2 linked regions of the Drosophila melanogaster genome follow. Each later gene encodes a partner of the first gene's protein in a complex. Each region holds a gene or a part of one and is shown in the gene's direction. Other genes may lie near its edges.

Region 1 (3,754 bases):
TGAGTATACGCCCCGTAATCCCCAATTGCATCATGATAAACTTGATGTCACAATTTGTAGTTTATAATTGTGATCTCACCTACGAACTATTGAATTTAATAAAACTGAATTATATTCTCCCTTTTGAAAATGCAAAGTAAAATAAAATATAAGATATACAAGTTATTGGCTTCAGTTGGTGCGCCCCCTCTTCAGCCAGAGTAAGTGCCTCAGTTCCGCCCTCCTGCGCTCCCTGGTGGCCCTATGCCTGGCCTCCTGGGCAGCACAGGCTGCCTTCTCGGCGGCGTTTTTGGTATTCTTGAAATCCACACGGGCCACCTCCAGCTGGCGGAGCAATAGCTCCACCCGCTTCTTGGCCGCTTCCACAAGCTGTTGCTTCTCGCCCAGCTCCTGCTGAGCGCCACTGGCCACGTGCTCCGAGTTGACCACATTATCCTGCGCATTCTTCACCGCCAGCGTAATGGTGTTCAGCTGATCTGCCGCCTGTTTGGCCGCTTGCCCGGCCGCAGCATAAGTAGTTTGGGTGGTCTGTAACAAGGTGCTCTCCTCCTGGACCACTAGCTCCCCCTCGCGCACCTCGGACTCCAGTTGCTCGACAATCTGTTGCTTGCCGGCCAGAGCAGCTTCTGCCGCCTTGGCTGCGGCCAGCGCTTTGTCGGCCAGTTGCTGCTTCACCTGGCGGGCAGCTGCCTCGCCAGCCTCTATCTGGGCATCGGATGCCTCCATGGCTTCCTTGGCCGCCTTCTGCGCAATGCATGAGGCCTTTACCCTGGTCTTTCCATTCATCTTGAAGTCGCACGGGGCACCGCCGGAGGATGACGACACACTGTTGTCGCCATCACCATGATGATCCGACATTAGAGCAGCTATCTCATTGGAGGACTGCGGCAACTTGTGGCCCGCAGAATGATCTGAGAACAGGAAGAAAAGTAGAAATGCGATTCGTGCTATCTCCATGCTTAACTCGAAATAGTTGTATTAAACGGATTTCTAAAGATATTTAAGAAATATATACTCCAGGTAACTTGTGGTTACTGTACAAATATTTCAAATAATAGTGATTTGAAAGGTGGAGCTGCTATATTCCCATTATTATCTCCACATTTCGATTTCCTGATGAGCCTTGAGATTTATGTACGATGCAAGATTCCCAATGCGTTGCGACTCCCTGGTTACGATGTTGCTTCTTTCGAACATCCTGCTGTCGACCGCCGCGCATCCTGCCCAGCGGAATGATCCGCGTTTCAAGCCCGGCTCCCTTCCCTGCAAGACGAGCATGAAAGCCAGCCAGGTGGCCTCGAAGGCGGCCAAGGATGCGAAGGACGCCAAGGATGCGCAGCCATGTGCCGCGGAGATGGCGGGCTACAGGGCACGGGAAATGCTGGCGGACAGGGCGTTGCAGGCGGCCAAGGCTGCGGAGGCGGCTCTCAACGGGAAGAAGCAGCTCCTCGATGAATACACCAAAAGTCTGGCAGAAACGAACAGGGTTATCGAGGAAATCCAACGAGCCATTGCTGCCAGCTCGTGCTCGGCGACGTCGGCAAAGGGGATCCGTGACAAGCTCTGCACATCCGTGAACATTATGAAGAGTATGCTAAAGGAAATGGGCGGAAATCTCGATAACATCCGGAGGATGGCCGACAGTGCCCAGAAAGAGGCCCTGGAAAAGCGCAGCCTTCTGAAAGCGGCCAGGATGCGGGTGGAAGAGCTCCATAGCTGCATGTGCGAGGCTCAGAAGGATCTGGAGCGAAATAAGCAGAGCGCTAAGAAGGCCAACGACGCCGCCAAGGAAGCACAGCAACGGATCGAAGCTTTGCAAAAACTGGTGAGCAGGATTAAGATGCTGAAGCGAAAGGATCTTCAGTCGCTCGAGAACTTCCTGCGCAGGAGAAGAAGTAGCACTCCGGAAAAAACAAGTTGAGTTTCTTGTTTGTTATGGCAATAATCATATTTATATTTTATAAAATACAATAAATAAGAACATATATTCACTTTAAATTTTTTCCGCCCGATATCAGTGTTGCCACTTGTCGCAAAATAAGTGAAAACATATCGATATCAAATTAAATCGACGCCGATTCAATAATCGATTGTTGCTAAGCAATTGATAGGCCACCCCTAGTAAGCGGACCGCATTTTTTTCTGTGAAAGTCAGAAAAATTAGCCGAAAAAGACTGTAAATATTTATTAATATCAGCCGAAACCGCACGCGAACAAATCGTGAACATGGCGCGCAAGAATGCCCAGGCGGAGGACCTCTCCAACGTGGAGTTCGAGACGAGCGAGGATGTGGAGGTGATACCCACATTCAACGCCATGAATCTAAAGGAGGAGCTGCTACGCGGCATCTACGCGTACGGTGAGTGGTGTGTATACCTATGGCCGGTCTAGAACTAATCCAGTTTTCTGCACTCCCAAGGCTTCGAGAAACCCTCGGCCATTCAGCAAAGGAGCATTACGCCTATCGTCAAGGGACGGGATGTGATTGCCCAGGCACAATCAGGCACGGGCAAAACCGCCACCTTCTCCATCTCCATCCTGCAGAGCCTGGACACCACGCTGCGGGAGACGCAGGTTCTGTGCCTGTCGCCCACTCGCGAGTTGGCTGTGCAAATCCAGAAAGTCATTCTTGCCCTCGGCGACATGATGAATGTCCAGTGCCATGTGTGCATCGGTGGCACCAACCTGGGCGAGGATATCCGCAAATTGGACTACGGTCAACACATTGTGAGCGGCACTCCAGGACGAGTCTTCGACATGATCAAGCGACGAGTGCTGCGAACAAGGTATGTTTCATTGTGCCCGATCAAACAATATTATAATTATAAGTACATTTTATAGAGCCATCAAGATGCTAGTGCTGGACGAAGCTGACGAGATGCTTAATAAGGGTTTCAAGGAACAGATATACGATGTGTATCGCTACTTGCCACCAGCCACCCAGGTGGTGCTCATCTCAGCTACCTTGCCCCACGAGATACTCGAGATGACCTCCAAATTTATGACAGATCCGATTCGCATCTTGGTCAAGCGGTAAGCAATATGATGCTCCCCCATATACGCAGTATGATTCATAAATTCCATTCCCTCACAGTGACGAATTGACACTGGAAGGCATCAAGCAGTTCTTCGTCGCCGTGGAGCGCGAGGAATGGAAATTCGATACCCTGTGCGATCTGTACGATACTCTGACCATTACCCAGGCCGTCATCTTCTGCAACACGAAACGCAAGGTGGACTGGCTGACGGAGAAGATGCGCGAGGCTAACTTTACAGTCAGCTCGATGCACGGCGATATGCCGCAAAAGGAGCGTGACGAGATCATGAAGGAGTTCCGAGCCGGCCAGTCGCGAGTGCTCATCACCACCGATGTGTGGGCTCGGGGTATCGATGTACAGCAGGTGTCGCTGGTCATCAACTACGATTTGCCCAACAACCGTGAGCTGTACATCCATCGCATCGGTCGTTCTGGTCGTTTCGGACGCAAAGGTGTTGCAATTAACTTTGTCAAATCGGACGATATCCGCATCCTGCGCGACATTGAGCAGTACTACTCCACACAAATCGACGAGATGCCCATGAACGTGGCTGACTTGATCTAAACTAATATTCTATCATTACTTTTATGTAACGCACTTTTCCTAGCCGTAACAACAAACGAATGAAGTAAATACATTTGAAGAGTATTTGAATTTCAATAGACAACCAAAATCTGTATAATAATAATAAATAACACGTAAGAATTTAATACAGA
Region 2 (3,347 bases), on another chromosome or scaffold:
TCGGCAAAGTGGAGGGTGCATACTGATGGATTCCGGGGTTGGGGTTCGTTGACATGTTGATTTCGCGTTACTTCGTGAAAGGCGTCATGTACCCACAATTGTTCGTTCAGGCGGCGAAATGTTGCATGTAGGGCTTTACCCAGCCACGGTCGGCAGGTCCCTAGATGGCCTGGAAAAAAATGAGAAAGTGGGAAAACCATTAGTTTAAGTTAACTGGAAACTAATTAAGTATACAAGTCCACCAATTTAAGTATAGACACTTCCTATTAGTGAGAAAGCCCCTAAATGTAGGCAACATACATATCTATATATTTTTTTTGAAAGGGGATTCCCCCGAGCAACAAAATTGTGCAGTAATGTATATGTAAGCCCTCGCATCTTTTCTGGATACACACCCAAATCCTCTTACTTTCCATAGTCCTTCATCCGCAACTTACCGATTTTCCCCCAAGTCAAAGTCTTTTTAAAGACAAACTTTCTACCGCTTTTTATGAGCACTTGAAGTTATACAAAGAAGCAAAAACTGATTGCGGAAAAAATCAATTAATACGCAACAAAGTAACTCCTTCCCGGTTACTGTCCTGGTTACCGACTGCACACACAAAAGCCCGAAGTTAACAAAGTTGTAACCCGGGCGGACCGACAGAGCTCCGGATCCGGACTTTGGGTACGCACAAGTACAAGTATGCGGACGGAGAGCGCTTTTAGAGAGGCGAAGAGCGCGTGAGAGATTTGTTTGCATAAACTGTTGTAAATGTTGCGGGACCTGGAGCATTACTAGGCGGGGCACATCGGTGGGCAGATGGGCGGATGCCACAATGTTGCACTCAATGCCATCGATTTTCCGGGCGTTCAGTCAAAACAAACCACCACAAGCGAAGTAAGCGCTCGTAAAGAGCGAAAAAAGGGGCCTAGCTTCAACGGGAGCTGGAGAGGATTGCATCTCAGCTGAGCGCAACTTTGTTGCACGACCGACTTTTCCCGAAGGACGACCGGGCGGGCACGTGCTCCGTTTACCCTTATTCCATTTTCCCGCCAAGAGCGACACATGCGCGGTCCCGCATCCTTGCACTTTCACTTGCCAGGACGTGCGCTCTCCGTGCTCATGGCTCTCCCGCTCGCCGAGCGCAAATTAATGGCCGTGTGTGTTTTTGTAAAATTACTTTGACCGAGATACGGGGCACTGGAGAAGGATAAGGACATGGCGATGGCTATGGGCGCTGGAACCGGAGAGCCAGCCGCATGTCCTCTCCCATTTTAGTGACATGGACGCCATTACAACGGCGATGGCCTCGCACACGCACACAATCACACGGCCGCAAACAAACCCGATTTGCCAACTTTGTTTCAATTCGCCAATAATTACAATGTTGCCCAGCGAGTTTCGAGCACCGTTTAACAGATGGGTTCTCACACACCGCCCTGTCGTTCACATACTTGTTGAGGTAGTTCCATGGCATCCAAAACTGAATTACATTTTAATAAAAATCAGTGCCAAATGCGCGACTTGTACGTGGATTATTGTTGTGTTATCGATACGCCGATAGGCTGGCTTCTCTTCCTCATCCCTGCCAGCCATTCGCAGCGAACACTTATCGATACGCGGTGATAGTTATTCCGTGTGTTTTCCCATCTCTAACGCGTTGTAGTAAAGGAAAAAGAGTGGGAAACCAAAAATTGATATTTTTCTGAAAGTCTTTCAAAGTTACGCTTTAAACTAGAAGCAATCATGTCCACGGAGGACTTTTACCTACGCTACTACGTCGGACACAAGGGCAAGTTCGGGCACGAATTCTTGGAGTTCGAGTTCCGGCCGGATGGCAAGCTGCGGTACGCCAACAACTCCAACTACAAGAACGACACCATGATCCGCAAGGAGGCCTTCGTCCACCAGTCCGTGATGGAAGAACTGAAGCGAATCATCATCGACTCGGAGATCATGCAGGAGGACGATCTGCCCTGGCCGCCACCAGATCGCGTGGGTCGACAGGTCGGTTTGCCGCACTCCGTAACTAGAGCTCAACTAAACAACCATGTGTCTTTTTCAGGAACTGGAGATCGTCATCGGAGACGAGCACATCTCGTTCACCACCTCGAAAACGGGATCATTGGTGGACGTGAACCGGTCAAAAGATCCCGAGGGCCTGCGATGCTTTTACTACCTGGTGCAGGATCTCAAGTGCCTGGTCTTCTCACTCATCGGCCTGCATTTCAAGATCAAGCCCATATAAGCCGTAGCCACCACCTCAAGCATAGCCTATTTATCGGACGGACACATCGTATTTTATAATGGAACTTCTACGATACTTGTAATTGTATAAGCTATACCTTTGTACTTTTTGGTACAGTTTGCAGTGAATAAAAAAGGATTGGAAGATACTTTGTTTTCAAAGTCTTGTGTACAGTCTAGATTGTGCTATAGAAGTAAATAGCAAATCTTCGATGTAGTAGCAGACAACAAGTTTAACAATAATAGCAAACACAATAGTAAACCATTTAACTTTTGATGTTATAATGTGTAGGTATATTTGAAAAATACAATTTAATATCTATTGTGTTTGAATAATATACATACTCGAGATAAAAATTTAAAGTCCTTTACATTTGTACAATTCGTATATGTCTAAAACAGCTTAAGCTAAGTGATTAATATCTCACAAACTGGCAAATTGTCTTAACGTTTAAGTACAAGCAGTAACTTAGCCTAAGATAATGATCGGTATCTTAAGAAACTGGAATAAAATACGCACTCACATACGGTTTTGAGACTTGCAAAGGGTTTGGCTTACATATGCTACTAAATTCAGTCTTTGGGGTGAGTACTTTGCTAACGAAAGTACAAACTAAGGGCCTGCAGGCGATGCAACACTATAGAAAGCTCTTATAGAGCCGAATGCGTAGGTCTCAGAGTCATAATTGTGGCTGCTGATGCAGCGCCAAAGTGGCTGAGATATTGTTACTGGGTCGCTCCAAATAGCTGCCATGTCCTGGCACGGGCATTGACATTGGCATCTCAAGATGCTGGTGGTGGTGATTCAGCTGCGCTTGCTGTAGATGCTGCTGCGGAAGTTGCTGCTGGTGGGAGAGTTGTGCCTTCAGGAGACTGGGAGATGCCTGCAGCGGAGTGTTGCTGGACACACCGACGCTACTGCCGCCAGGACTGGGACCACCCTCCTTCAGCGGAACGCCGATAGTGAGACGCACATGAAGACCAGACTCCTTGATGAGATTCACTACATCGCCGTGCGACATGCCAGCTATCTCGATGCGGTTTACTGCCACTATGCGATCGCCCACCTTGAGCTCTCCACAACGATCCGCCGGACTGCCGGGTATTAGTTTCCCTT

The links.
Region 2: CG7483 (region 1) and mago share a complex: the UniProt entries of both Drosophila melanogaster proteins name them as parts of the mRNA splicing-dependent exon junction complex.

What each region holds. Positions count from the first base shown.
Region 1 is NT_033777.3:8,311,112-8,314,865, forward strand, and holds CG7483 (uncharacterized protein), read left to right. Parts: upstream 1-2,096; 5' UTR 2,097-2,226; coding exon 2,227-2,359; intron 2,360-2,419; coding exon 2,420-2,786; intron 2,787-2,841; coding exon 2,842-3,033; intron 3,034-3,094; coding exon 3,095-3,602; 3' UTR 3,603-3,753; downstream 3,754-3,754. Other genes in the region: CG11694 (uncharacterized protein), read right to left, coding at 172-957; CG11698 (uncharacterized protein), read left to right, coding at 1,133-1,921. UniProt on the Drosophila melanogaster protein: ATP-dependent RNA helicase. Core component of the splicing-dependent multiprotein exon junction complex (EJC) deposited at splice junctions on mRNAs. Involved in exon definition of genes containing long introns, including the rolled/MAPK gene.
Region 2 is NT_033778.4:21,126,965-21,130,311, forward strand, and holds mago (mago nashi), read left to right. Parts: upstream 1-1,612; 5' UTR 1,613-1,729; coding exon 1,730-1,990; intron 1,991-2,048; coding exon 2,049-2,231; 3' UTR 2,232-2,773; downstream 2,774-3,347. Other genes in the region: Tmtc3 (transmembrane O-mannosyltransferase targeting cadherins 3), read right to left, coding at 1-55; magi, read right to left, coding at 2,911-3,344. UniProt on the Drosophila melanogaster protein: Core component of the splicing-dependent multiprotein exon junction complex (EJC) deposited at splice junctions on mRNAs. Involved in exon definition of genes containing long introns, including the rolled/MAPK gene.